4 linked regions of the Lonchura striata genome follow. The protein of the gene in region 2 purifies or fractionates together with the protein of the main gene of each other region. This does not show direct contact. Links are inferred from orthologs where the notes say so. Each region holds a gene or a part of one and is shown on either strand. Other genes may lie near its edges.

Evidence for each region.
Region 1: the proteins of NCBP1 (region 2) and NCL fractionate together in Homo sapiens (co-fractionation; 3 studies listed by BioGRID and IntAct, with this or other methods). This does not show direct contact. The link is inferred for Lonchura striata from reciprocal best matches to the Homo sapiens genes NCBP1 and NCL.
Region 3: the proteins of NCBP1 (region 2) and HNRNPA1 purify together in Homo sapiens (affinity purification with western blotting; 4 studies listed by BioGRID and IntAct, with this or other methods). This does not show direct contact. The link is inferred for Lonchura striata from reciprocal best matches to the Homo sapiens genes NCBP1 and HNRNPA1.
Region 4: the proteins of NCBP1 (region 2) and KPNA2 purify together in Homo sapiens (co-immunoprecipitation; 5 studies listed by BioGRID and IntAct, with this or other methods). This does not show direct contact. The link is inferred for Lonchura striata from reciprocal best matches to the Homo sapiens genes NCBP1 and KPNA2.

What each region holds. Positions count from the first base shown.
Region 1 is NC_134612.1:18,077,040-18,084,466, reverse strand, and holds the start of NCL (nucleolin), read left to right. Parts: upstream 1-4,409; 5' UTR 4,410-4,525; coding exon 4,526-4,543; intron 4,544-5,104; coding exon 5,105-5,212; intron 5,213-5,789; coding exon 5,790-6,066; intron 6,067-6,388; coding exon 6,389-6,538; intron 6,539-6,887; coding exon 6,888-7,070; intron 7,071-7,276; coding exon 7,277-7,363; intron 7,364-7,427. UniProt on the Homo sapiens protein: Nucleolin is the major nucleolar protein of growing eukaryotic cells. It is found associated with intranucleolar chromatin and pre-ribosomal particles. It induces chromatin decondensation by binding to histone H1.
Region 2 is NC_134642.1:47,796,973-47,804,382, reverse strand, and holds the start of NCBP1 (nuclear cap-binding protein subunit 1), read right to left. Parts: upstream 3,008-7,410; 5' UTR 2,882-3,007; coding exon 2,848-2,881; intron 2,718-2,847; coding exon 2,632-2,717; intron 1,952-2,631; coding exon 1,851-1,951; intron 762-1,850; coding exon 605-761; intron 1-604. Other genes in the region: TSTD2 (thiosulfate sulfurtransferase/rhodanese-like domain-containing protein 2), read left to right, coding at 3,139-3,222, 3,296-3,588, 4,452-4,560, 6,221-6,346. UniProt on the Homo sapiens protein: Component of the cap-binding complex (CBC), which binds cotranscriptionally to the 5'-cap of pre-mRNAs and is involved in various processes such as pre-mRNA splicing, translation regulation, nonsense-mediated mRNA decay, RNA-mediated gene silencing (RNAi) by microRNAs (miRNAs) and mRNA export.
Region 3 is NC_134629.1:8,440,462-8,448,067, forward strand, and holds the start of HNRNPA1 (heterogeneous nuclear ribonucleoprotein A1), read left to right. Parts: upstream 1-4,601; 5' UTR 4,602-4,686; coding exon 4,687-4,701; intron 4,702-6,514; coding exon 6,515-6,631; intron 6,632-7,606. Other genes in the region: CBX5 (chromobox protein homolog 5), read right to left, coding at 490-688, 1,141-1,277. UniProt on the Homo sapiens protein: Involved in the packaging of pre-mRNA into hnRNP particles, transport of poly(A) mRNA from the nucleus to the cytoplasm and modulation of splice site selection.
Region 4 is NC_134621.1:8,515,735-8,522,713, forward strand, and holds the start of KPNA2 (importin subunit alpha-1), read right to left. Parts: upstream 3,004-6,979; 5' UTR 2,956-3,003; intron 2,281-2,955; 5' UTR 2,239-2,280; coding exon 2,164-2,238; intron 2,067-2,163; coding exon 1,929-2,066; intron 1,073-1,928; coding exon 984-1,072; intron 187-983; coding exon 1-186. Other genes in the region: C19H17orf58 (UPF0450 protein C17orf58 homolog), read left to right, coding at 3,129-3,453, 4,279-4,502, 6,714-6,831.

The sequences.
Region 1 (7,427 bases), on a different chromosome or scaffold from region 2:
AGGGTGCTCCCAAGGTCTCCTCTCACCACCCAAATTGCTCCACATCTCCCAATCCTGGTTTTTCTTCTTTATCTCACACCTACTGCAAGTCCTCTTCTGGTCCCACTTTTTTCTCACGCATCCTTTTTTCCAGGGCTGCACTTGTTCTCTTGCTGAGCAGATCCAGAGGAGAGTCCACCTGGCTGGGAGGCTCTGGGTGGCTGTGTGGGCTTGCTGGGGGCTCACAGGCACACCACAAGATCCTGCTGCCAGCTCCAGGCAAGGCGTGTTGGGGAATGGAATTGGCCTGCCACAAGGGAAATCTTAGGGGAATTGGCTCCTTCTGGAAATAAAAATCCCCTTCTTTTCTGCAGTGTACCAGAAATTATCCCTACAAGGAATACTTGGAGGGCATGTGGAGACTAAATTTGCATGTACAAAACTCTCTGTGGGAGTCACCTGTAGGTTTCCTTGTCCATGAACCCCAGGAAATGCTACAGCATCTGCCAGAGTGACAATGGGTATGCCTGTCTCCAGGGTCCCTTGCCAATTCCTGCAGCATCCCTCCTCAAGAAAGGATACTTCTCAGAGAAGAAATCCCATACTCTGCCAGACACTGCTGACTTTCATCCCTGCAGGCTAGTGTGTCTCAAGCTGCCCATTTCAAGGCAGAGGACGTGCACTTGTCTGTGACTACTTGAATTAAGTGCCATTTGTCACAGCAAGCTCTGCACCCACTTCATGCTCATCATCCTTGAGGACTCTCCTCTTGGCACAGACAGGGGGATAATGAAGAAAAAACTTAATTAGACTACCACACAGTCCCATCTAATTTTCTGTCCTGCATTAATCAGGGCCTGGGGAACTGTGCAGTTGGGAAGAGAGAGGACAACCCCTGAGTGCCTGGTGCTGCTGGGTCACCATCCATCAGCTGTGGTACCTGCTGGCATAGGAGCACATGACGGGGTGAGGTGGGCACCAAGAGGAGAAAAGGATTTGCAGCATGGGGTTGTTCAAGAGGTTTTGAGCAGCACCTAGACCTAGGATTAGTAAATTTGCTTTAATAGTGGTTTTTGGTGGGGTTTTATTTGTTTGATTTTTTTTTTCTGCCACCTTTGCCATGCTGTACACATCAGATCACTGCTCAGACCACACAGCAGGTGATGTCAGGTTGAGGTGCTCAGGGACACATTTCATTGCTCTTCTAGCTCGTTTCCCCTTCTCTGAGCACCCACTGGATGTTTGCTGGAGATCCCTGACAATTTTTTTTTGGCAGCAGACGCCTGCACCACCCACAGGTAAAACTTTTCCTCTCCCGAATGCACTTGGTGCTGCTGCTACCCGGCGAGTACCAAATGCGTCCTGGGAGGCACGAAGGAGGCAGGGCGGGATGCGCCGCTCAGGTGCGCCCAGCAGGGTTTGGGGGAGCCGGGACACGCAGCCTTCTGCCACCATCTAGTGGAAACCCGCGGCGGCCACAGCCTGAACGGGGCGTTTGGGAGCGCTCCCTCACTCACCTCAGCTGGGATTCCCCTCGAGCTGGCCACCCAGTTTGCCTGGCTTTTGGGTGGCCGCGTTTGCCTCGCAGCGCAGTTCCCCCCTCCAGGCCCTGGGCAGCCGCAGCCGGGTAGGGAAAAGCACAGGGTGAGCGTCTGCTATGCCAGAAACTGAGAATCCACGGCAAACCCCTCCTGGGGTCTCCACTGAACCAGCTAAATTCCCTTTAACTGTGGAATTATAGCAGCGCTCCCCAGCCACACACATGCTACAACAAGAGACAGCCATAAAATGACCTAAAGTGTATTTACTGCACAAATAGAGCTGTCAAACCTGCTCTTTTGGCCAAATTACCCTTCTCACTGATGCTTCTCTGTGAGACTTCCCTCGGCATTTGAAATTCCTGGAGCTGCCTGCAGAGGAGCTGGGCTGTGCTGAGCCACAGCAGGGACAGCCCTGCAATATGGTGCGTCCCAAGGCTGGCCTTGCTCCACTCCGGCATCATCCTGCCCAGTGCTAGGGCTGAAAAATCCTGGCCACACATGGGATACAGGGAAGAACCCAGCCTAAACACTGGCATCTGCAATGTCCTGGGCCCTTTTTGGCCATAAGAGCAGCTGGCAGGGTTGGGCCATATCCAGACCTGCTCAATGGTGCATGGATAACAGTGCATGGACTGACACAGAACATGGATTAGCACAGAGCATGGATTGATATGGAGCATGGATTGGCACAGAACACGAATTAGCACAGTGCATGGACTGACACAGAGCATGGATTAGCACAGAGCATGGATTGATATGGAGCATGGATTGGCACAGAACATGGATTAGCACAGTGCATGGACTGACACAGAGCATGGATTAGCACAGCCTCATGGCCAGTGCTGGTTCTCACTCCTCTGCACGGGGTGCTGTGCTCCTTCCCCAAACACTGGGCTCTACTGCAGCCTCACAGATACCAGAGGCAAGGACAACCTTCCAACACACTGCTGGGGAATGGGACTGAACACAGGCCATACTGAGAACTCCCCTGCCAGGGTTGGGAACCAAGACTAGCCAGCTGCCAGCCCAGCCCTTTGCAGATCCCACTGCTGGCACTGGTATTGGCCAAATGCAGTGTCCCAGCTGCCAAAACTGCCCCTGGCTAAAGCAACAGTTGTACCTTTATCATGACAAACCAGCAAGGCCAGCCCCAGCACAGGCAGCAGAGCTGTTCAGGCAGTCATGGTACATGATCTTGTTGAACCACATGCGTGGTGAGGAGAGTGCAATCAGCTCTTGCTTCAGACAGTTAAAAATCACTTTCAGGTCTCTCTGTCTTCCATTCCATCACTTTGCATCCCCTTGGGCCACACTTAGTCTTGTGTCACTGCTTTCCCCATGCAGTGACCCCACTTGGGGACAGCTCCTGCAGCACACAGTGGGACATGAGCCAGACATTGCTATTTCACAGGCAGGGTCCAGCTGCCCTACACAAGGGTTTTGCCAGCTGGGATCCCCATCTGCCTGCATGTGTGTGACCAGGACTGGGACACAGGCAGTATCCCACTTTGTTCCAGCTCCTTCCCTCCCCATACTGGCTGATGGTGGCAGGCCCTGCACAGGCTTGGATTACTCCTGGAGAGGCTGATTGATCCCATCACCTCTCAGTGAGCAGCTGCCCTTAGCTCAGCTTGCCTGGAAACTGCCTCTTCTTAACCAGCAGAGAAAGAGGCATAGGACAGCCTAAGAGCTGGGTATATTGCCTCAGCCACAGTGTGGCACTGAACAATCTTGGGGTGCCCCCTCAAAGGCACCAGGGCCATGCAGGATGGCACTCATTGAGAGTCTGCATTTTTATTCCGGGGCTCACTAGGATCTCATGTTCCCCAAGTCAGGTGCTTATCTCAAGTAGGCCATGGATGAGCAAGCTGCTACAGTCACCCATGCTTGAGTCAGGAGCCCCCAGGAGCTGGCTGGATGCCCAGTTTGAAGGGTAGGGGAGGTAAGGCAGTAGGGAAAGCCCAGCAATGGAGGCCACTCTGTGTCAGGTAGTGGCAAGGCAGCACCCAGCCCGGCCAGCAGAGTGACAAGTGAAACAGGGGTACCGGGTCTGCCCTGGGGTCATTTCTACCCTCAATTTACAGCCACCGGGGAAAAATTCCACAGGGAGAAAGGTGGTGTCTTCTTGCAGTGACTGCATTCAAAAGCATCCATCAGGCAAGCACAGGCTTATTTTTTTCTTTCATTTTGGGCCTTTTCTCCCAGCTGAAGGAGTGAAGGCTGGCAGCTGCAGAGTGCAACCACAACCTCGACAGCAGCAGCAGCAGCACACTGACCGGCTCCTACGGAAGCTCCTTCAGCTGCCCACGGGTGCTTTGTGCTTCCCGAGGGTCGGGGAGGGGATGCGGAGCCAGGCAGAAGTGGGTGGCAGAGATAGCGCTGGGGCAGAGACAGCCCCAAAGCGGGAGGCAAAAGCGTGTTCGGGCAGAGCGGCACGCCGAGCTGCCGCCGGGGCGGTCGGGGCCGCCGTGAGCGCCGGGCACGGCGGCGTCTCCCGGAGCCCCGGAGCCCCGGAGCCCCGCCCGGGCCCGGCACGGCGCCGCGGCCGCCACGTGCGGCCCCTGGGCCCGGCCAGGCCGCCCGGCCCCGCGCATGCGCCGCGCCGCCGCCGTCCCGCGGCCTCCCGGGCGGGCGGTGCGTCCCCCCCGCGCTCGGCCCCGCGGCTGTAACGCGCCCTGCGGTTGGCCGATCGCAGAACGCCGGCGATTGGCGCGGCGGCTCGAGGGGCGGGGGCCGCGATTGGCCGGGCGGCGGGGCGCGCGCGGCGATTGGTCGGAGCGGGGGCGGTGGGGGCGGGGCGTGGCGCGGGGCTAGCAAAGGGGGCGGAAGGGGCGCGCGCTCGCTCTTTCGTGTCAGTGCCCGGCCCGGCCGCCCGCGCGTCCCCGCCGCTCCCGCTACTCGCCCGCGGCCCGATCCCCGCCGCGCCGCCGCCCCGCCGGACGCGCCCGCTCCGCTCCCGACACAACTCGGCCGCCGCCCCTGCGCCGCCAGGCACCGCCGCCATCATGGTGAAGATCACCAAGGTGAGGGAGTGGCGGAGCGCAGCCGCCGGGCGGGAAGCGGTCCAACGCCGCCATGATGGGGCGGGAGGGTGCGGATGGCGGCGTATCGGGGAGGAAGCCGGGCCGCCTTCTCGCCGCCGTCCGCTCGGGCCGCGCGGCGGCACCTGGCCTGTTCTCCCGAGCCGTGAAGATGGCGGCGAGGGGAGGGGCCGCGGGCCCGGAGGCAGTGGATTCAAGCCCCAATTGTCCCGCTCTGCTCCGTGCGGCGGCGGCGGGAGGGGAGCGGGCGGCGGGGCGGGGGATCCGCGCGCGTGTGTGCGGGACGCGGGTGGGCCCCGCGTGCGGGCGCGCGCGGGGTGGGGGGGGCGGGGCTACGTCACAGTGCGGCCACGTGGGGCGCGCGGACAGCGAGCACGTGGGGGCGCGCGGAGCTCCCGGGAAGGCCCCGCGCACCGGCGGGCGCGGCCCCGCCACCGCGGGGCGGCCACGTGGTGGGGACAATCGCCCCGCCGGAGCGAGCGGCGCCCGCAAGCGACCCGGGTGAGCACGGCACCTGAACGTGCTGCTCCCGCTCTCTTGCAGACCCCGAAGAATCAGATGAAACAGAAAAAAATGGCTCCTCCCCCGAAAAAGTTCGAGGAAAGTGAAGAAGAGGAGTCCTCTGATCTAGACGAAAGCAGCGGAGAAGAGGTGATTGATCTAGAAAGGGGAGGCAAAAGGACGCACGTGTTACACAGAAGTGTCGTGAGGGTTGTGGGTTACACTGTAACAGGCGTTTAATCAATAGTCGGTGTTTCTCTATAAATTGTGGCTAAAGAATAAAGTGGATTTTGTAAGAATAAAGCATTATGGGGAAAAATAGCTCAGCTACTGTGTTTCCAAGCTTTTGGAAGTGCTTCTGATGTTTTAAAGCCATACTAAAGCTGATAAGCATGTGGGTACCTAATTATTCTAGTAATCAGCAGTGTAACATTTGTCCACGTGTGGTTTATGTGCAAGTGTAAAAATTCCAAGGTATAGAATGCTAATAGACACAATTGGTCTTTGTTCAGGACCAGGGAGTTTAGAGGTGCTTTGATGTTCCATAAGTAGGCTTCTGAAAGCATGAAAAAGCTGTTTTTGACCTTTATTCATCTGAGTGGGCATTTAAGGTAAATTTACAGAACCTGTCAGGTTACTCTGTAGATTTCAGTTGCTGTATGTTTGATAGTGAAGTAATGGTAGGTTAAACAGGCCAGCATGAATCTTACACTAATGTGTCTTTCAGATGATCCCCCAGAAGAAACCACAAAAAGTTGCTGTTACCCCAGCCAAGAAGGCTGCAACTCCTGCAAAAAAAGTTGCTACTCCTGCAAAAAAGGCAGTTACACCTGCAAAGAAGGTTGTGGCTACTCCACAGCCGAAAAAGGCTGTTACTCCAACTCCTAAAAAGGCTGCTGTCCTAACCAAAGGAGCAAAAAATGGAAAGAATGCCAAGAAGCAGGAGAGTGAAGAAGATGATGAAGATGACGAAGATGATGATGAGGAGGATGAAGAAGATTCGGGTAAGTTACTTTTGAAATAGGCATTGACTAAAGCTGGTTCAATCAAGTCATTAAATATGAGTCCCTTTGGAATTGGAAGCATTTGTGTGATTAATACTTGGGGGAGTTCATTGATTAATGAGGGGTTATGAAGGAGAGGTGGGCAATGGGTGAAGTTTGGAGGAGAGCTTGGGCTGCAGCTGCCTTACACACGGCGTGTAAAACATCTCCTAGTTTCTTGATTGCCCTTTCCTGAACTTTTGCGCAAAATTTTGGGAAGCTCTAAGCACTTTTTACCTATACCACTGAACCTTAGTAGTAAAGACTTGTACTGTTGGTGCAGATGAGGAAGAGGAGCCACCAATGCCTGTGAAGCCTGCAGCCAAAAAGCCTGCAGCAGTACCAGCCAAAAAGCCTGCAGCTGTGCCAGCAAAGCAGGATTCTGAGGAGGATGAGGATGAAGAGGATGATGAAGAAGATGATGAAGAAGATGGTATAAGATGTTTATTATTAAACACTTTCAGGGACCTGGGGGAGGGAGGTTACTTAAAGGATAATGGGATTGATGCAGTGTGTGCTCGGCTGGTTTTAGCTGGTTGCTGTTGTCCATGTTGCTGAAAGGATGTTAATTTCCCTTTTGTCAGTAAAACTTCTTACTGTTGGTGAACAGGTTTTGGGGTTTTTTTTAATGCAGTAAAACACAAGGCAGAGAGACAATTTTCCTGGAAACATACAAATTTCAGGAGGCATGAGAAACATCTTGCTTAACAGTATTTTGTTTTCTTAGTTTCAAAATATGCTTAATGTGGAACTGTCTGAATACCGTGCTCATCTTGTTTCAGAGTCTGAAGATGAAGCCATGGACACAGCCCCTGTTCCAGTGAAAAAAGCCACTCCAGCCAAGGCTGCACCAGTGAAAGCCAAGGCAGCAGAATCTGAAGATGAGGAAGATGAGGATGATGATGAGGATGATGATGAAGAGGAGGAGGATGAAGAGGATGCCGAAGAGGAAAGTGAAGATGAAAGTAAGTTTAAGTGGCTTTGAGACTCTTTAATAACAGATATGGTGCCTAAGCAGAAATGTGCTACAGTGGCCTTTTGTACTGAGGAGCAGCTTCTGAGTAACAGGAGAAGATCTTGTGTATGAATAGTGTAAGGATTAATGTTCCTGTATTGATGCAATTCAGGAAAAGTTCTGTATTTTACAGTGTTGTTCTGTTTTCTGGCACAGAACCTGTTGTCAAGGAAGCACCTGGAAAGAGGAAGAAAGAAATGGCCAATAAAAGTGCACCAGAGCCCAAGAAAAAGAAAACAGATGGTAAGTGGTGTGGGATCCTCATATGATGCTTGTTTAATGGATTGTGATTGAATTCTGTTGCATG
Region 2 (7,410 bases):
GCAGACTGATACTACAGAAGAAAACCACGGTACTTCTCTCTATTCTGTACAGTATCAGATAACAAAAATAACAGCAAGTTCTAGCAATAGATCTTATTAGCAAAGATAATATCACGGTTGACTGAAGTTCAGTCTCTTGACTAGAATCTTAATTTTCACCAGTGGGATTCAGAAGGTGAGGAACTTGGCAGTGGGCTTCTAAATCAGACACTGCTGAAGTTCTAATAGCTTACAGCAGACAAAATCTATAAGCAGTAAGGATGAAGCAAATGGTTTCAAAGACAGGAAGCACTTTTTTTTTTTATCTTTTACATTTGACTGAAGAACAAGCAGTGAAAAGCACCTCTGTTTAACACACATTTAATTTTTCACTGTGAAAAAGATACCATTGGAACTACATTTTGTAAATGTAATACAAGTCCTCGTCCTTGAAAAAGAAAATACTGCTAACACATATTTCCTCTTGGAATATTTAAAGTGCACTGCACATTGATGGCAAAAGACATTAAAACACACATTGCAAGGTCCAGCTCTCTGTAACAAAAAGGTGAAAAGAGGAAAGAATAAGGATATGAAAAAAATAGACAAATAAAACTCCACTTACTAAATGCACAGCTTCATTATACATGTTTACTTTCAGACATTCTTTAAGCTGACGAATCATGGCTTCTACAAATTCCCCACCAAAATTGTAGTTCCTGGCATTCAGCAAGCCCACCAATGTCGTGTAAACAGTAAGCTTTTCTGGTAGCAGACGTGCACTGACACAGAAAAAGAAATAATGTGTTAGTTGTTTATTCATCATGTGCCAGTTGGCCACTGCATGGCATCTTAGAATCCGCGTATTGTAAGTTAAAACTTGGCTCATGAGGAAATCAGAAAATCAGAAAAGACAGCTACTATCACTTTCTAGTACAAAATATTTGCTTTTCATTTATATCTAATTGCTGAGTATCCCACAGGGTTGGACAAATAATATTAGTGACAGAATTTATTGCAAGAATGCAAGAAGTTGTTTAAGTCCATAGTCAATAGTAAAGTCATTACACAGCATAAGGAATACTAGGTCCTACTGTAAAAAAGTAATTTACCTCTACCATTTTAAGCAGGTAAGTAAGCAGTGTCTTTCTGCTGCCAGGGAAGGAAGCACACTACTTACCTGTTATTAAAAATATTGCTAAAAAAGAAACTTTAAGTATCTGCAAAATATTAGAACAGGCTACATAGTCTGCACCACACCCTTCCTTCGGAATTGTCTTACCTCTTGCAACAGACCCTGCACAATCCCTCCCTCAACACCATTCAGTGACCCTGTCATAGCATCTCTGCTCCTGCATTTTGCAGGGAGAGGAAAGAGAGCTGGCAGCCACCAGAGCCTGGTTTCTGCTCCTCCCGTTCCCAGTCCTTCCCCTCTAGCAAATGTGCTTACAAAGACTTGAGCACGTGACTGCCAGGGAAGAGAAAGCTGTGAGAAAACATCAAGATAACACAGATAGATGTTAGCAGCCACTCTGGTGGTCTTAAGCGCTTAAGCGTTTCACGTGAAAAAGGATTTTACCCGGTATTGCTGCGTTCCCACAGCTACTGCAGACCAGTTCTAATGTTTCATCTACCTGCTTCAAGCCTTTATACACATTTCAAGTCAAAGCAAAGTAAAAAGGTATTTTTCTTGAATTACACCAAATACATAGCGAACTTGTTCCTCTATGTCTTTCGTTTGTAGTAAGGCAAACCCTAAGCTATGACACCAATCACAAACTAAAGCTATTCATGGCTTTTAAACTACCTTAAAACCAAACTTAGGCACACCGAAAGCACACCCCATATTCCCAGACCTTCTCAATACGTACACAGTACACAGTATTCTTAGTATCTTGCTTTTGTAATTTGGCAGATCAGCTTCCAAAACACCAGCTAGGCCCTCCAGGTTGCTCTCCAAAGATGAATTACTCTAAAATGAAAACAAAACAAACAAACAGAAGAAAGTTTCATCAACCAGGCAAAACGAACTAGTCCAACTCCCACATGTAAGACATGAGCATCCTTTCGTGTCGCCTCATTTTTCGGGGCAATACTCGGGTTCCATCAAAAGCGAAGATCTGTTCTCGCTTGCCTAACAAGAGTTGCACCTGACCGCCAAACTCCCTCGCTAGGAACTTCAGCTTTCCCCCGGGATGCAAGATCGAACATCACCTCAGGAGCATCCCGACCAGCCGAGCATTGATTAACAACACAACACGAAGCTGAAAAACACCTAGTTTCTCTGCGCATCATCACCTATTGTTCTGCCACCCCCTCCTCCATCAGCCCCACCGTCGGGACTGGAAACTTGTGCCGCAGGAAGAGCAATTAATTCTTTCGCACCCTTCGCACGCCAGAATCACCAGCACCATCTCTAGGTACAACAGTAACTCGGGCCGTGTATCCCCGACTGGGAAGCACCACGCTACGATTTAAGCACTTACCCGCCGCAGCACGTGGCTTAGCAAAAAAAACCGGCAACTTTCCACCCACCTCACAAAATAAGCATTTTTTGAGGGTCGCTACTACAGACGAAGCGCACCCACACCATGCAAGGGACAGGGAGAAGGGAAACGAGGCTTGAGTTCCCCGAGCCGCCGGCCCACCTACCTTCTCTCCCACCCTGCAGATGAGCGACTCGAGCCTCTCCTCAATTTCCGACGGCTCGGACGTCCTCCGCCTCTTGTGGGGCTGTCCTGCTCCACAACACACCAAGCAGAGCGTTACCGCCGCCGCAGAAACCCTGCCGCTCTCAACCCCGCCGCTCCTCCATCCCGCCCGACCCACCCTCCCGCCGGGACACCGCGAGGGGGGCGCGGGGCTCACCATCGCTGTCGTCGCTGTGCCGCCGCCGCGACATGGTCCGGAGCAGCGGGGGGGAGCAGCGGGAGGAGCAGCGCCGAGCAGTGCGGAGCGCCGCGGAGCTGCGGGAAGCGCTGGGCCGAGGCGCCGCGCGGGCCGAGCAAGCGCGCTGCCTCCCCGCCCGCGGCCGCGCCGCTTCCGGGGCGCGCGCGGCCCGGCCCGCCCACTTCCCTGAGGAACCCGAGCCGTTCCGGGTCGGGGACGGAGCCGGCGGGAGGAGGCGGAGAGCGGGCGCTTCCCGGCGGAGAGGGGGAGATGGTGCTGGGCGAGGCGGCGCCGCGGGGCAGCGCCGAGGGGGCGGCGGCGGGCAGGAAGCAGTGCGCGGCCGCCCGCAGGAAGGTGGGTCGGGGCCGGGGCCGGGCCTGGGCCGCGCTGTAACCTCGGTAACGAGGACGCTTGCGGTGCGTTCCAGGCCTTTTCCCTGTTCGTCAAAGCCAAGGAGGTGCCGGCCGCGTCGCGGTGTCCCGGCGGAGGAGAGGGCGTGCGGTGGCGGTGCTGCCGGCAGGCGTTCGAGGAGCTGCCCGGCATCCACAGGCACGTGGCGCTGCACCACTCCGGGGACGTGGGGCGGCAGGCGGGGCTGGGCGCGCCGCCCGCCGACGCCGCGGGCGGCGCGGCCCGGCCGAGCGGGCGCTCCTGCGGCGGCCCGGAGATCTCCTGGGCGCTCCCGGACACCAGCCACGTCAGCCACGACGATCTGACCAGGTAAGGAAGCTCCTCGCCTCCCTGAAGCTCCAGCACTGGGATATTCGGCTTTACATGATCATCTGCCAGTGTACTTCTTATGAGAAGTACTTCTTAAGCCACGCTTCTAAGGTATAGGAAGAGAGTATTCCCCAATATTCTTCTAGATCTTCACATTCTTTGTGTATCCTTTATATAAAGAGCTAGATCCCTTGCAGTTTTTAACGGTGGATTGAACTATTCTTCTGTACTGTTAAAGCAGGTCTGTATGGGTGTTGCTTGACAGCTTGGATCTGTAAGGAAGGACCACAACAGAGAAGGGCAGAACAGCAGGATATGCTTTGCACGGGTTCCTTTCTGCTGTTCGTTCAAGTTCCTGAAGTTAGTTATGAAGAAGGTTCATAGAAACGCTTCTGACTGTGACAGAGTTCAGCTTGTGCTGCACAGAATGTGGGAATGTGCAATCTCACAAAAAACTTAGGCTTTTTAAATTTAGACAGCTCAAGTGCTTGAGTTTTCAAGTGCCATTTTGGTAAAGTGAGCCAAATGGCTTGCATGTATGGATAAAAGCCAGCAATTCTTGTGTTCTGTGTGTGGGGAGAGCATATGGTAGGCCCTGGAAGTGAGAGTACAAAGTTCACTTTGTAACTAGTCCCGAGGATTAGAAGTCTGGGAGCTTTTTTTTTGGTTAACATTCATTCTGTTTGTAATAAACCAAACCCAGTAGGTCTAATCCCTACAAAGTTTGTTTCAGGGGATTTTTTTCTCTACAGATCTGCCAAAAGAAAATTGTCTGCTTTTTGAATGGTTACTGCTAATAGTACAATTTTGTTCTTTCTTAACATTATTTTTCTTTTTGCTTACCTTTACCATGCTGTGGGCAGCCAGGTGGGAGACGTACTTCTCTATTACTGTTACTGTGAGGTGAGGGATCCAGAGAAACTCTGTGCTTGGCAGAAGGCTTTGTGTCAGCATCTACATCTCACTGGCAAGGTAAGGTTTGCAGCAATGGTTCTATTCTTAAAGGAAAAAGCCCCATATCTTTACGTAGTGCAGGATGATGGGTTATATGGAGAACCACATGTGTTTTGCATCAGAAAGTGTTAGTCTGTTATGATCCCATTAAGACAGACACTCAGACTTGGTAAGGTATCTTTTAGAATTCTGTTTAAGAGCTATCACAACAAAGAAAAAAAAATACAGATAATCTTAAATCCCCTTAAATCCCTTTTGATGTAGGGAGCCCTGGGTTGTGTGGCACTGAGTGAGCCTTACAGGCAGCACACTGTGCAGACCCTGGCCTTGCAAGGATTACCCTGTTTCCATCAGTTTTACACATGGAAACAGTCTTTTTATCACTCCTGCTGTCAACCAGAAAGGATATTCACATGAGAAAGTCGTGATGCATTTTTCTATAAAGGCAGGGAGATGAAAGTGACTTAATCATTGGTGTCAGCAGAGAGCTGCTTTCAGGCATCTCAGTTAGCATTAGCAGGCTGGGTGTATGCTGTGGCTGAAGGACACATGCAGCACAACGCAGCCTGAGGGCCAAGCTGGAGGGATAGCGTGGGTCTGGGCCTGCTCCACTCACTGGGCACCTGTATCCTCCTTCCTCAGTGCACAGTGGGCTTCCATGCAGAGTGGCTACAGCAAGCTGTAAGCCATACTGTTGGGAAGGTGAGAACAGCCAACACCTTAGACTACACCATAATGTAGCATTTTTCTTTTCTGCACAGTCTGTTATTTTCATTCCTGGCAGGTTAGACTAATGACATCAGTTGCTTGTGTACCTGACCTCTGGATGCTGTGTGCAAAGGTGAATTTTAGTCTCAGAAAGTTGATGTTCCTAGGCTATCTGTGAGGAGAAGGAGAGCAACGTGGAGCAGGAAAATCCTTTTATCTGAGACTTGTCTTCCTAATTAGCTTCTTGCTCTCTGCCAGTGATACATCAACACAGGCCTGGGGGTGAAGTGTTGTCATACATTCACTCCTTTTTCTGCTCAGCTGTCTTCTCTGGTAGTTGGTGTTTTGCTCAAGTTTCTTTTCTTTTTTTTTTTCCATCTCATCTCCAAGACAGGTAGAGCCCAATCAGCTGTTTTTCTCCTTGCTTCTTATATTCAGTCTTTCGCCCTTCCCCCCAACCCCCACTTCAGAGCTTTTGTTCATTTGTCAGTGCTGGGGATAAAATGACTCATCCCAAAAATTAATATTTGATACAATGTTATGCATATTCACATTTTCTTTTTTAGCTGTGTGAGTCATGCAGCACAAACCTATTGTTCTTTCTGAGGTAACTTCCAGTGGGAATTCTAATGCCGACTGCAGGATTTGCAGACAGCAATTTCTGTGTTTATACAGCATTTCTCTGTTTATTGAGTGGACTTCTCTGACTGTCCTGGTGTGATTCTTTTAAAATGGCTGAGAAATGGTTACTGGATTGTTGAGGGTTTTTTTTCCTGGTTATTGTCTTTATGTTCAACTTCAGACTAACCATATTTTCCTTCCTTAATCAGTAGTCTCTTTTCTGAACATACTCCTGTGCCTGCCCTGTGTCACAGGCAAATATTTTGCCATATTCATAATTTGCCAATTTCACTATGATCTCTTTTGCTGTAATTAAGGCTCAGCCCCAGCTTCTCCTCTTGCCTTCTAGGTACGAGTTGCTTCAGAGGGGATTAATGGGACAGTTGGTGGAAGCAAAGTAGCTACCAGTCTTTACATTAAAGTTATGCTTTCCCAGCCTCTGTTCAAAAACACTTTGTGTCAAGAGGATTTCAAGGTATGACAAAAAATTTACGTAGATATTATTAATGCAAGTAATTTAATTTTCAAGAAATAAGTAGTTTCCTTTTTGACAGTATTACTTCTGCTGTAGCAGTTCTGCTCCCCCACCACTTACCTAAGTTGGTGGATCTTAACCGTACTGAAAATCTTTGCTGGTTTTTACAAGAATTGGGAGTTTCCATGGACAGTGATAGTCACTGCTACAAGCTTTGGCAGCTATGGGTGCAGCTTCAAAGCCCCTGAATACAGGTGAGTGAGGGAGTGTGCCTAAGCCCCATCATTCTGCAACAAGCATTTACTGCAGACTGAGCAGGCATCATGACATACACTTAGCCCAGCAAAGTGTTTGCACACTGTCCTCTTCACCCTGCTTTGACGGGAAGCAGTACTACTGGTTTAGGTTTATGCAGGTTTTGGTGCCCATATAGGTGCACTGTCAGTTCCATGGATTGGGTATCTTCCAGAGAAAACACACAGGGACTGTCAAGAGGTTTCTTGCTACTTCACTTAGTGTTTGGCTGGAGTATACATACTGATTGGTGTCGTCTCATGATGAAGGCAGCAGTGGCTGGTGTGCTATATGGCATCTGGTAGGCTTTGGCTGCCAGCCACTCTTAAGTTCTGGCTTCTCTGCAAGGAAGGAAAGCTTCTGCTTAAGCTGTAGCTCTTTTCCACACAGTTTTATTTGCAGGGAGTCCTACTATTTTTTCATAAGCAACTAGATCAAAGGAGTTAGTGAAACCTGCGAAAATCAAATTCCATGCTGAGCTGCAGTGATGATTCAGTCCTAGCTTTATAAGTGTCTGTTATGCTTGGCTGAATTTCAAGAGGAGTTGTGTTAGTTACAGTCATATGTAGATACAAAAGAAAAAAAAAGAGGGATGGAATTTTACCTTGGCAAAACCTTCAACCTTGCATGATCTCTCTGGGCGTCAGTGTTCATGCATTAGTCAAATATAGTGTTTGCTGTCTCACAGTTCCTCCTGACTGTTGTATGCCCAAGTGAGTGAGGCTTTCAGGTTACTGTGCCATGAAGACATGGGATAGAGGAGTTATTGG
Region 3 (7,606 bases), on a different chromosome or scaffold from region 2:
GTGTCCCTGTCCCCTCCTGGTGTCCCTGTCCCCATCCTGGTGTCTCCATCCCCATCCTGGTGTCTCCATCCCCATCCTGGTGTCCCTGTCCCCTCCTGGTGTCCCTGTCCCCTCCTGGTGTCCCTGTCCCCTCCCGGTGTCCCTGTCCCCTCCTGGTGTCCCTGTCCCCATCCTGGTGTCTCCATCCCCATCCTGGTGTCCCTGTCCCCCTCCCGGTGTCCCTGTCCCCTCCTGGTGTCCCTGTCCCCATCCTGGTGTCCCCATCCCCATCCTGGTGTCCCTGTCCCCTCCCGGTGTCCCTGTCCCCATCCCCTCCTGGTGTCCCCGTCCCCATCCCGGTGTCCCCATCCCCTCTTGGTGTCCCCATCTCCTCCCGATGTCTTTGTCCCCATCCTTGTATCCCCTCCCAGTGTCGCTGTCCCCATCCCCATGTCCCCATCCCCTCCTGTCCCCAGCTGTCCCCGGTGTCCCCGGTGTCCCGTGTCTCACCTCTCTCTTCTTCTTGGCCCTGCCGTCCTCGCTGCCGGGCAGCCCCTTGCGCTTGGCGCCCTCGGGGCGCTCCCGGGGCCGCGTCCCCTCGCTGTCCCTCATGTCCCTCATGTCCCTCATCCTGCGGTCCTTGCGCAGGAACTGCGAGATCAGCTCGGGGCAGTCCAGGTTCTTCTCGGGCTCCCACGTGTTGTGCTCCCTGGGGACACCCAGGGGACAGGGGACATGGTCAGGGGACATGGCAGGGGACACCCAGGGACACCGTCAGGGGACACAGCAGGGGACAGGGGACAGGGTCAGGGGACACCCAGGGACACAGTCTGGGGACAGGGGACACGGCAGGGGACACCCAAGGATACCCAGGGACACCGTCAGGGCACGGGGGACATGGCAGGGGACAGGGGACACTGTCAGGGGACATGGCAGGGGACAGGGGACATGGTCAGGGGACACCCAGGGACACGGTCAGGGGACAGGGGACACCCAGGGGATACCCAGCGACACCCAGGGTACAGGGGACACCAAGGGGACATGGTCAGGGGACAGGGGATACCCGGGGACACCCAGGGACACAGAGGGGACACGGTCAGGGGACACCCAGGGTGTTGTGTCCCCTGTCCCTGCTGTGTCCCTGCTGTCCCCGTCACTCACTCGGAGAAGCCCTTCCACTTGAGCAGGTACTCGGCCTGGCCCCTCACCACGCGCCGGTCCAGCACCTTCTCCACCACATACTCCTCCTCCTCCCCCGAGGACGAGCTGTCGGCGGCCCGGCGGCTCCTCCTGCCCATAGCGCAGCCACCGCTCTGGGGACAGGGACAGGGACAGTGACAGGAGTGTCACCGTGGCTCAGGGAATGTCACCGTGGGACGTGGCACTGCCCTGCTCCTCCTGCCCATGGCGCAGCCACCGCTCTGGGGACAGGGACAGTGACAGGAGTGTCACCATGGCTCAGGGAATGTCACCATGGGACGTGGCACTGCCCTGCTCCTCCTGCCCATGGCACAGCCACCGCTCTGGGGACAGGGACAGGGACAGTGACAGGAGTGTCACCATGGCTCAGGGAATGTCACCATGGGACGTGGCACTGCCCTGCTCCTCCTGCCCATGGCACAGCCACCGCTCTGGGGACAGGGACAGGGGACAGTGTCACCATGAGTGTCACCATGGCTCAGGGAATGTCACCATGGGACGTGGCACTGCTCCGGCAGCTCCTCCTGCCCATAGCGCAGCCACCGCTCTGGGGACAGGGACAGGGACAGTGACAGGAGTGTCACCATGGGTCAGGGAATGTCACCGTGGGACGTGGCACTGCCCTGCTCCTCCTGCCCATAGCGCAGCCACCGCTCTGGGGACAGGGACAGTGTCACCATGAGTGTCACCATGGGTCAGGGAATGTCACCATGGGACGTGGCACTGCTCCGGCAGCTCCTCCTGCCCATGGCGCAGCCACCGCTCTGGGGACAGGGACAGGGACAGTGACAGGAGTGTCACCGTGGCTCAGGGAATGTCACCGTGGGACGTGACACTGCCCTGCTCCTCCTGCCCATAGCGCAGCCACCGCTCTGGGGACAGGGACAGTGTCACCATGAGTGTCACCATGGGACGTGGCACTGCTCCGGCGGCTCCTCCTGCCCATGGCGCAGCCACCGCTCTGGGGACAGGGACAGTGTCACCATGGGTCAGGGAATGTCACCATGGGACGTGGCACTGCCCTGCTCCTCCTGCCCATGGCGCAGCCACCGCTCTGGGGACAGGGACAGGGACAGGAGTGTCACCATGGGTCAGAGAGTGTCACCATGGGTCAGGGAATGTCACCGTGGGACGTGGCACTGCCCTGCTCCTCCTGCCCATAGCGCAGCCACCGCTCTGGGGACAGGGACAGGGATGTCACCAGGGCACAGGGATTGTCACCATGGGTCAGGGAATGTCACACAGGGCCCCTCCTGCCACTGCTCTGGGGGCACGGATAGGAATGTCACCAGATTTGGGGACACCTGGGGATCCCCAGGAGGGATTTCGGGACATCCTGGGGATCCCCAAAAGGGATTTGGGGTAATTTTGGGATCCCTAAGAGGGATCTGGGATCATTTTGGATCCCACAAAAGGGATTTGGGATCATTTTGGGAGCCCCAAGAGGGATCTGAGGTCATTTCGGGATCCCCAAGAGGGATTTGGGATAATTTTGGGTCCCACAAAAGGGATTTGGGGTAATCCCCAAGAGGGATTTAAATTATTTTGGGATCCCCAAGAGTGATTTGGGGTTCCTTTGGGACCCCAAAAGAAATTTGGGGTAATTTTGGGATCCCCAAGAGGGATTTGGGATAATTTAGGGACGCCCAAAAGGGATCTGGGGTAATTTTGGGATCCCCAAAAGGGATCTGGGGTAATTTTGGGATCCCCAAGAGGGATCTGGGGTCACCTCAGGATCCTCAAAGTGAGACCCCAAGGGGGAGGCACAGGAGGGGCTGATTCCTAAAAACCCAGCGGGGATTTAGGCACAAAGAAACGTGATTTGGGCTAAAATCTCCTAAAAAAAAAAACAACGCAAAACCCAGAGAATTCAGGCAGAGCGAAACGGAATTTGGAATAAATCCCCAAAAACTGAAGGGGGATTTGGGAGCAGAGAAATGGAATTTGGGCTAAACCCCTTAAAAATCAAGATTAAAAAAAAGAAAAAAAAAAAAAAAGACGCTTTAAAAGCCCTCAAATCTGTTTTTTCTCCCCCCTTAGGGCAGGATTTGAGCGGATTTCTCCCTTTACACACAGCCCGAGGGGAATCCCTCGCTCCCGGCCGGAATTTCCTGCCGGGCTCCCGGCGGGGTTCCGGGCGGGCTCCTGAGGGAGAAGGCGCCGCTTTGGGTGGGAAAAGGCCAATTTTGGGAAAATCCGCGCCCGGGAATGCTGCGGGAACAAAGGGAGGGCGGCACGCGGAGGCCCGGGAGCGCCTGGCCGGGGCCGAGGCCGCGGCTGTGAGGGGAAAGCCGCCGCTGCGGGGCGGGGCGCGACGCCCCGAGGGCCCAGGCCGCGGTTTTGGGGTGAAAAGCCGCAGATTTGGGCTCGGAGCGCCCCGAGCTGAGGGGCCCGGCCGCCGGGCCTGGGGGCGGGGCCAGCAGCGCGCCGCCGCACGCCATTGGTCAGAGCCGCCGCGCGCCGCGCCCTGATTGGCAGCGCGCCCCACCGCGCGCCGCGGCCCCGCCGCGCGACTATTGGGCGGCGGAACCGTCACTCCGAGCGCCGCCCCGCCTGCCCTGCGCCGCTATAGGTCAGCGCGCCTGTCACTCGGCTCGCCGCCCCGCCTCCCGCTCGCTGCTATTCAACACCGCGCCCGCCACTCCCCGCGAGGCCCCGCCTCCCGCCCGCACCCATTGGCCGCCGCGCCTGCCCGTCACGGCGGCGGGCCCGCCCCCGCGCTGCCGCCCGTCCATCCGCCGCCCGCCGCCGGCGCTACCTGCGCGGAGAGCGGCTCCGGCGCGGGCCCGTCCGCCGCGGTCTGGCCGCCCCTCCGAGCCGCCGCCGCTCCGCGCTCCGCCCGCCAAAACCGCCCGCAGCGCGCAGGCGCCGCCGGCGGCGCTCCGCGCATGCGTCCGCCCGCCTTTTCCCCCCCCTCTCCCCAAAGCCCACCGCGATGGGCGCATGCGCTGCCGCGGCCGCACCTTGGGGCCGGCGGGCGGGCGGCCTCTGCTCGCCGCCGCCGCCGGGAGTCGCCGCCGCCTCCCCGCTCTGCGCCCGCCGCGCCGCGCTCGCCGAGCTGCGCTGGGCCCGCCGCCGCCGGCGCTGATGGACGGCCGCGCCCGCCAATGGGCACCGTCCCCCCGCTCTCCCAGCCAATGAGCGCCTGGCGAGGGGCGGGCCCTGTTTCTTTCCAACCAACCAGCGGCGCGCCGGGGAGTCTCCGGGCCGGAGCGGGAAAAGCCACGCGGGGCGTGTCGGCAGCGCTTCTCCCCAATCCCCGCGGCGCAGGGGCGGGACGTTTCGGCGCGCAGCCAATCAGCGGCGGCGCGGGGGGCGGAGCGCGGCGAGGCGGCCAATGGGGCGGCGGCGTTGTGAGGCGGCAGCCAATGGGCGGCGGCGCGGGGGCCGCGCGGGCGGCGGGGGCGGCGGGGTGAGGCGGCGGCGCTCGCGGCGCTCGGCCCCTTTCCGTGTCGGCCCTCGCAGAGGGAGCATCGCGCGCCGCCGCCACCGCCCCGCGCCGCCGCCATGGCCAAGGCCGAGGTCAGCAGCGGCGCCCGCCCCGCTCCCCGCCGATCCGCGCGCCCCGTTGTTTGTTTTTTTTTTTTTTTTTTTTGTTGTTTTTTTTTTTAACCCATCCCCGTTCCCTCCCCCCCGCCCCCGCCGCCGCCGCCGCCGCCTGGCGGGCCGCGGGACCTCACTGCGCCTGCGCGCGGCGCCCCCCCCTCATCCCCTCAGCCGCGCAGGCGCCATTGTGTGTGGGGGGGGTCACACACAGAGCCCCCCCTCCCCTCCCCCTTCCCCTCCCCCTTCCCCTCCCCTCCCCCCTCAGGTTCCATTTTTGGGGGGGGTCCCACAGAGCCCCTCCCCCCCCCCCCCCAAGGTCCATTTTCGGGGGGGGGTCCCACAGATTTCGCCCCCCTCAGGCGCATGCGCGACCCCCCCTCACCCCGCGCGCGCTCCCGCGGCCACGTGCGCGCGCTTTGTGTCACGGGGGGGGGGGGTCTCAGGAATAACGGGGGGGGGAAAGAAGGGGATGGGGGGGTGTTGGAATTTGGGCTTGAAATTAAAGCTGGGGGGGTGGGGGAGTTGGAGTTTAGGGTTGGGGGGGGCAAAATTAGGGGAGGGGGGTCAGGAATAGGGGCTGGGGGCGCTGAGGGGGCTGAGGGTGCTGGTAGGCCCCAAAATTTGGGGTTGGGGGTGTTGGAATTTGGGGTGTGGGGCCTTTGTGGGGTTTAATATTAAAACTGGGGGGGTGGGGGGTCGGAATAGGGCTGGGGGCCCTGAAGGGGCTGGGGGCGGTGAGGGGGCTGGTAGGCCCCAAAAATGGGGGTTGAGGGAGAGATTTGGGGGCCTGGAGTTGGGATTTTGGGGTTGGGGGTGTTGGAATTGGGGATGTGGGGGCTTGGGGGGGTTTAAAATGAAAGCTGGGGGGTTTGGGGGGGTGGGGGGTCAGAAATAGGGGCTGGCGGCGGTGAGGGTGATGGTAGGCCCAAAAAATGGAGGTTGGGGGAGAGATTTGGGGGCCTGGGACATTGAGAAATTTGGGTTGGGGGGGTTTGGGGGTCTGGTGGCCCCCCCAGATGGGAACTGGGGATGCTCAAGGTTCAGGTGGCCCCAAAAATTGGGGATGGGGGAGGTCAGGGAGGGTCCCCAGGGGGCTGGGGGGGGATTTGTTGGGGGTGGGTTTGGGGTGTCAGGAGCTGCTTGGGAGGGGAGGGTCCCAGTTGGGTTTTTTTGGGGTCCCAGGGGCGATTTGGGGGTGTCAGGATCTCTCTGGAGCTTTGGGGGGACATTTTGGGGTGTGAGGGGGAGTTCAGGAGGGATTTTGGGATGGGACGGGGGTCCCAAGAGGGATTTTGGGGTGTGAGGAGCACTGGAGGGGTCCCATTAGGGATTTTGGGTTGTCAGTCCCCCCGGGAGCTGGGTGAGGGGGTTTTGAGGGGGTTTTGGGGTTCCCCAGCCTCCCCAGAGCTGGGTGAGGAGGTTTTGGGGGTCCTCATCCCCCAACAGGAACTGTGTGAGGGGGTTTCGGGGTGTCAGGCCCCTGTGAGCTGAGTGTGGGGGTTTTGGGGGTGTTTTAGGGGGGATTTTTGGGGTGTTTTAAGGGGTGTTTTAAGGAGTGTTTTAGGGAAGGTTTAGGGGGTGTTTTAGGGGGGATTTTTGGGGTGTTGTAAGGGGTGTTTTGGGGGTGTTTTAGGGGGAGTTTTAGGGGGGATTTGGGAGTGTTTTAAGGGGTGTTTTAGGGGAGGTTTAGGGGGTGTTTTAGGGGGGATTTTGGGGGTGTTTAGGGGGTATTTGGGCTTCCCACCCCCTCCGTGGGGTTCCGGGGTGCCCTGAGCCCGTCCCCCCGCAGTCCCCGAAGGAGCCGGAGCAGCTCCGGAAGCTTTTCATCGGGGGCCTGAGCTTCGAGACCACGGACGAGAGCCTGCGCAGCCACTTCGAGCAGTGGGGCACGCTCACCGACTGCGTGGTGAGGGGCAGGGGGCCTGAAATGGGGCTGGGGGCCCTGGAAACGGCACTGACTGCAGGAAAAACGGGGCTGGGGGCCCTGAAATGGGGCTGCGGGCCCTGGAAACGGCACTGACAGCAGGAAAAACGGGGCTGGGGGCCGTCTGAAATGGGGCTGGGGGCCTGAAATGGGGCTGGGGGCCCTGGAAACGGCACTGAGAGCAGGAAAATGGGGCTGGGGGCCCTGGAAACGGCACTGAGAGCAGGAAAATGGGGCTGGGGGCCCTGGAAATGGCACTGAGAGCAGGAAAAACAGGGCTGGGGGCCGTCTGAAATGGGGCTGGGGGCCTGAAATGGGGCTGGGGGCCCTGGAAACAGCACTGAGAGCTGGAAAATGGGGCTGGGGGCCCTGGAAACGGCACTGAGAGCAAAAAAATGGGGCTGGGGGCCTCTGAAATGGTGCTGGGGGCCCTGGAAACAGCACTGAGAACAGGAAAATGGGGCTGGGGGCCTCTGAAATGGGGCTGGGGGCCCTGAAATGGGGCTGGGGGCCCTGGAAACGGCACTGAGAGCAGGAAAAACAGGGCTGGGGTCCCCAAAAATGGAGCTGAGGTCCCTGAAATGGGACTGAGATCTCCTGGAGTAGAGCTGGGGTCACTAAAAGGGCACTGTGATCCCTAAAACCAGCCCTGGGATCCCTGAAAATGGCCCTGAGACCCTTAAAAACGTCATGGGATCCCTAAAAATGGAGCTGGGATGACAAAAATGGCCCTGGGATCCTCAAATCCCTCCCTGGGGTCCCTGAAATCAGCCCTGGGACCCCAAAACCAGCCCTGGAGCACCAAAACCAACCCTGGGGCACCAAAACTGACCTGGGACCTTTAAAATCAGCCCTGGGACCCCAAAACCAGCCCTGGGGCACCAAAACTGATCTGGGACCTTTAAAATCAGCCCTGGGACCCCAAAACCAGCCCTGGGGCACCAAAACCGACCTGGG
Region 4 (6,979 bases), on a different chromosome or scaffold from region 2:
GCCCCTCCATCCACCACTGCCCTGGTTTGCTCTGACGTGCCAGAGGCGATGTTGGTGAGGGCCCAGGCAGATTCAAACTGGATGGGACTGCAGTCTGCTCTGCCCAGGAACGAGACAAACTTTGGAATCAAACCAGCCCGAATTATGTTGTCTATTGGGGGTTGCTTCTCTCTTGAGAGGAGTTTCCTATGGAGGAAGGCAAACAGGAAGCATTAATTTTGCCTGCAGACATCTGAACAACAAATTAAAGTTTTAAAAGCACCATATGAAAAGAGTTTAGCATTGTCTTAACATTCATAGAAGGCAACACAACAGCATGAAAGAGAAATGCATACAAGATGAACACTAGCTCCCTAGCCAGGCCTCTGTTAATGCTAATTTGGCATGTCTTCACTATATGAGAGGTTCTGTTCAGACTCTGAAGCAAAGCAGACCTGCAGGAGTCATTACACATCTGAGCTGCTAGAGGCTTCTCAGCAGAGAGAGGTTAGTGACTGCCAGAAGAAGCACTTGAGCAATATGCAAGCTTATTAAAGGATATTTTAGATTTGAAAAGAGAAACAAACTTGGAAAACTTCAAAACCCACTCATCCTACTGTTCACATTATTCTAAAGTGAATTGCCACACTCATACATACCAAAGTGTTAACACAGTTTAAAAGGTACCTTACTTTGCTATAATAAAGTGTTAACTATAATTACTTCTTCAAATCAAAGGTGACTACTGTTAAATTTGCCACCACTAAAGCAAATTACTTCTTCCTACTAAAATATTCAGGCACTTTAAATATTCAAAAGCCACATGATTTCAATAAAACCATGCCTAAGTTATGGGTATCTCAACATGGTATATAAGATGGTGTTTGTTGAAATACTGCCTGATAAGAAAGCCATAAGCAGCCATTTAGGCTCATAAGTCAATCCTCTCACCTTGCCTAGTTATTGGCTTGCACAGCTGAGTTGGTTTCCTCTGAACTGCTTACCTGGCAGCTTGAGTAGCCTGTAGCTGAAGCTCCATATTATTACTATTAACTCCTTTGACTATTTCTTCAACTGACCAATGTGCCAAAACCTGTACAAGAAAATGTTACATGAGTGCTTCACTGGGACAGTCATGTGTATTCCTGACCAGAGAGCTCTTACACAGTACCATGAACAGGCCCCAATTTACAGCCACTTCCACAATGAGGTATTTCAAAACCTCATCAGCTACAGCTTCACCTACAGTTATCTGAACTGCTGAAAGCTTTTTTTAACCAAGTGATTCATACCAGTTATGCTAGGTTTAAAATGTAGCTGCAGCCAGTGATGCCTTGAGAAGTCTGACTTAGAACAGAGGCTAAACAGAGTTAAAGAATAAAGCAGGTATTGATTGAAGGCCTTAATGGATACAACTTGGGCAGTACAAGAGCCTGGCCAGGGCTACACGAAAGATGAACCAAAATGGTCACAAAACGGACTATGGTCATGAGGTTTGACACTTTTATATGTTTTAGTCCATTTGCATATTGGAATTAATTGTCCAGTTATAACTTTAGGTTACAAAGCTCCATCCTGTTTATTTTTCTTTCTTCAATTCACTGTTGTTTATACTTTTTGGGCCTGGAGGTTGTAACACTTGTCCTTGGACAAGCTGGAAAGGGATTGTTTTGTCTACCTACTCTGTGAAGAGAACTTGCTAACACTTAATATGAAGCTCAGTTACACACTAAAGCAGCATAGAATCTGAAAAATATGAAAGCTAAAACTTAAGGCATCCCCAGTTGTGTGTAAGAGTGCTGTCCATTAGAGGTGATAACACAGGCCTGAGTTACTAATGCAGATGCAGTAGTGCTGTCCTGCACTCGAGAATAGATCCATGTTGGCCTGGCTGCAGCATCTCAGACAGTAAGACCCTCCAAGTGTGTCTATTCCAAGTATCCACTTACCTGGTTGCCTCTGTTTTCCTGAAGGGGAGAAGTAGCATCATCTGGTAAAGTGCTCACATTTCTTCTTTTAAGCATCTGGTCATCTTTTTTAGCTTTCCTCAGCTCCACATTGACTTCAATGCGCCGCCTTCTCATCTCCTGGAGGATACACACTCAGAATAAGTTCTGGGCTTTCAAAACTTAGATTTAAAGAGAAAATGGCTGGCTAAAGTACTAATTGCACCAGAGTACTCACTGTGCTGTCCTTTCCTTTGTTCTTGAATCTGTTTAATCGAGCTGAGGGTGTATTGGCATTCTCATTAGTAGACATCTTGCTTGTTAGATTTTTTGAGCAGGACAGATAAAAACAAGCCTGAAAACAGAGCAAAGGAAAATTTACTCCACAAAAGTTAAATTTTAAAAAATTGGACCCATACTCAAGAATGATAGGCACTTGTTAGCATTAATACTATAAAAACATCTGACTTGTTCAACAGCTGTCTCATTAAACAGCCATATGTTATAACGAACTCTAGCATCAACACAAAAGCAGAAGACACAGTCACACGATTTTGAGACACTTTAAACCAAATACTGCTAGTTATTATTTTCAGAAGCAGCATAGATTTTCATTTCTACAGACAACATACACACGCTGTTAAATACTATTTTCACTATCACGCACCTGTGCTGCACAGGAACCCACCTAGCCCCACCCCGACCTTTTTGGGAATGGGAAGAAGGCCGGGGGGCGTTTGCCGTGCGGGCGCAGCCGGCCGCACATAACAACGGCTACACGAGTAACGAAGAAAACCCTTACGGCTCAGCCACTGCCAGCATAAGAACCGTCTTGGCTTCCCTTCGGCCATAGCCCCACCGGAGAGACAACCCGCGCTGGGATACACCAGCCCTATCAGCCCCAGTGCAGACAGCGAGACGCGGGAGGCTCCGGAGAGAGGCCCCGGCAGAATTGTAGGCATAGCACGGCTCTTTCCAAAAGGGCAGCGCAGGGCCCGCATCCCCGCCGCCCCAGACCCGGTCCCCACACCTCGGCCGGAGACGCCGCCAGTCGCTCCGCTGCTGCCGCACGCTGCCACTGCCCACGGCCGCCCCACGCGGCATTTAAATTTCCCGCGGCCGCGCCCTGCCATTGGCCAGTTCGAGCCAAAGCAGCCTTCTGATTGGCCGGTTTGAAAGCAGCCCGGCTCGCCATGACGGGGAATGCCCTCCCGGAAGAGCCGGTCGGACGTGACGTCTTCACAAAGCCCGGTACTACAGCCCCCGGCGTGCCCCGCGCAGGCAGTGCCAGCAAGCCCCTGTGGGGCGGCGCGGGGCACGCCGGGAGCTGTAGTGCACGGGGCCGGGCTCGGTGATAGCCCGGGACGGGAGCGGGGATCGGAGCGAGGGGTTAATTGTGTCGTGCAGGGGCCGCGCTCTGAGCGGGTGGGGCAGAAATTCCCTCACGCAGAGCCTGAGTCTGCCTCAGAAACCAGCGCGGCAACGCGGGCTTCCCCGGGACAAGGGCGGGTAGTGACAGGACGAGGAGGTGGATGGTTTCAAACGCAACGAGAGTGGGTTTAGATGGGATATTGGGAAAAAATCCTTCCCTGTAAGGGTGGTGAAGCCCTTCTCAGGTTCCCAGAGAAGCTATGGCTGCCCCATCCCTGGAAGTGTCCAAGGCCAGGTTGAATGGGGCTCCAAGCAACTTGGGGTAATGGAGGGTGTCCCTTCCAACCCAAACCATTCAGTGATTCCATGGCTCCATGTGTCACTTATTGTCTCCAAGAAATGTGGTGCACAGAAATGCAAAGAAAAGGGGATATGAGATTGCAGCTGAAAGCAGTTCTACAGCCATCAGGGCAGATGGAAACCTAATCACACAGAATAACAAAAGCAAAGGATTCCTGCCCCTGTGGTATGGCCTGAAAAGGGATGAGATTGATTCCAATGGGTTTGGCCTGCTCATGAGGGATGGAACACAAAAGAACACTGATTTTCACAGGAGATCTTCAAACCAAAGAACTGTAGGGAAAACACAACTCTGACACTTTGAGACACCTGTAAGGTACAACACAGAGAAGTTTCAGGCATGTACATCGATATGCCTGTGTGCTAAGCCATCACATTAAACCACTTATACCAATCTCTAGGCACACATTAGGTATGGAGGATGTTTGCTGAGGAGGAATTACCAGTGACATCTCATATAGCTGGTTTTAGGCCTTACGGTGCTGAGCTTTGTAAAAAACACCTACAAAAACAAGAGCAGGTAAGCCAAGAGAAGGCACGTTGCTAACAAATGGAGATATTAAACAAAGAAAAAAGGCAGTTCAAAAGCAGAAATAGAGGTAAAACACCTGCTTTCCTGAAGGATTGGAAGGTTGGCGTGAAGAAATTCCATCGCTGGCAGTGTATGATCTGGAGCAGTTAAATCTGGGCACAGCGATCGGTGTTGAGGGCACGGAGAGGGCTGGCAGTGCCCGAGATGCCCGAGGGGGTGTGGGCTGCGAGGGGGCGACAGAGACGTCGGGGGAGACTGGGCAACTGGGGCACAACAGCGGCCAAGCTGCGGGTGAGGTTGTGGGGCTGCAGAAGGTGTGTGCAAGGCGGGCAAAAGGGCCGTGAGGGGTCACAGAGCCCTGAGGGGGAGGTGTTCCCTGAGAAGGCCGAGTGTGGAGCCGCTGGGACTGGGTAGAGTTACCGGCAGCAGCACAGGAGCCAGGACCGGGCCCGCGAGGGGAAGCTGAAAGACACGGGCCCGCGGGCAGCGGTGGGCGGGGGTCCCGGGCCAGCGGGGCGGCCCCGGGCGGGTCCCCTCAGGCGGGGACGCGCTCGCGCCGAGGGCGGGAACCCGTTCTGAGGCGCGGGCGGGGCCGCGGGCACGCGCCGCGGGGCGGGGCCTGAGGGCGCCGCGACCAATGGCGTGCGGGGGGTGGGGCCGGCCCGCCGCGAGCGGGGAACACGTGACACCCGCAGGGGGCGGGGCCGGGGCCGGCCGGGCGGGGCTCTTACCGGGCGGCGCGCGCGGTGTGTGCTGGGTGACCCAGTGGCCTAATGGATAAGGCATCAGCCTCCGGAGCTGGGGATTGTGGGTTCGAGTCCCATCTGGGTCGTGCCGCGCTCGTTTTGTGCCGCTGCCGCGGGTCGCTCCGTGCGCCCACCCCCGCCCGGGACCCCCGACTCTTTTACCGCGGCTGCCCCGGGCCCGCTCTGCCGCGCTCCGCGACCCGCGGGGGCAGCTGCGCTTCCTGCGGGCATCCCTGGGTCCCGCTCCCTCCAGAGAGCAGCAGCCGCGGGGCACCGGGCAGGGATGTGGCTTTGGTCCCGGTTTTGCCCAGCGCTGCTGGGAAAGCTTTTCCATCTCCGCTGCTCGAGCACCCCGGGGCTGCTGGAATGCCGGGAGTGCTCCAAACACCACTGCTGTGCTCTTAATGGAGATCCTGTCCAAGTAAAGTCTGGGGAAAGAGTGCAGACACAGCCGTAATGAATGAGGGTTGAATTGCACCACCAGCTAATTCAACAGAAAAATCCTTGGAATACAGGTCTGTGGCATGCTCACGTGTGTGTATATCCATCCATCCATCCATCCATCCATCCATCCATCCATCCATCCATCCATCCATCCTCCTCCCTCCCCAGTGCCAGCACTCACACTCCAGCTTCTGCTTGCTGCAGGTACCTGCTGCTCACCAAAGCAATGGAGGAGCCCTCCTCTCCTTCATCCTCAATTTACATTCCTATTCCCGTAATAGCTATCTTGGGATAGTTCTGGAATTAAAATGTTTCAAATAACAGAGGGAAACAGGGAGTAAGTGAGTGTTGCAGTAGAAACGTAACTCGTTGAGTAATAGATGTGGTGAAATGTCTTTTATTTTCCACACTATTCTGGTGAATTTTCTGTATCTTTGCCCATGGCTGCTGGAGACAAAGCCCTGAGCTTCTGGAAATCCTATTGAAATATTTAATTAAGGCAGGACAAAACAAACTGCTTGAACTAAGCAACACTGAATCCCATGCCACAGGCATGGCTGAGGGTTAGATTTTCTGTCAAGGGTGGGTTTCAGGAGCCTTTCAGTGCCTTTATGTAGTTTTAAATTGTTGGTTGTCCCTTAAAATCATGAACAGCTTCCACAGCACCCAGCAGCAGCCGGTGAGTTAAACTGTCACAATAGGAATCTTGTGTTGCAATAAGGTCACTTAGAAATAAGCCTTCTTAATTCAGTAATCCAAATCAGGGTTGGCTTGGTGTGTGAAAATTTGCAGAGTTCTTCACGATGGCAAAGAGAGATTTAAAAATAAAGCTGTGTGGGATCAGCAGAGCTTTCCCTTGGACTAGACAGTCACAACTGCATTTTTCAGCCTGAAAAGAATCACTGAAACTGGTTCCTGAAACTAAAAGAGGAGATTAGCAGTTGTATCACTGGAGGTGACCAGAAATCCCCAGATATGTTCCATTGTCATGCATATCCTTTACAGCCCCCGTGTCCCCGGGTCTGGTGTATTCCAGCAGCTCCCGGTTCCCCCCCAGAACACAGCTCTCCACAGGCAGCAAAACCAGCCTTGTTCCCGATGATTTTTCCCTACAGAATGCCACAGGAGGGCAAGACTCCCCAAAATAAAAATCTGCTGCCAGAACCACGTGTGGGTGTGTATTCCCAGGACTCAGGTGGTGCAGCCAGGGGCTTGTTCCCGATGGGAAGGAGCACATTCCTCCCAGGCAGGGCTGGTGGAGGCAGCAGCTTGGTCTTGCTCCAGTGGGTTGTCCAGCGAGTGATTCCCGTTTCCCCTCAGGCTGCCTCTCATTAGCATGGATCGGGGGAAGGGCATAAAAGACTCCAGCTCATTTTGAGTCTGGAAAAACTTTTCTTCAAAATGACAACCCAAGTGTTCTGGCTCCTCTGCTTTGTCATTAGATCATCTTCTGGTAAGTCTGTTACCTTCGGAGCGGGGCTGGGGCAGCTCTGCCTCGGGAAGCAGGGGAGGCTAAGGACTTTCCTACAAACCCTTGCTTGGGCAGCCCCCCAGCCTGCAGCCTTTTCAGCAGGTAAGGGCTCAAGAAAGAAACATTTCAA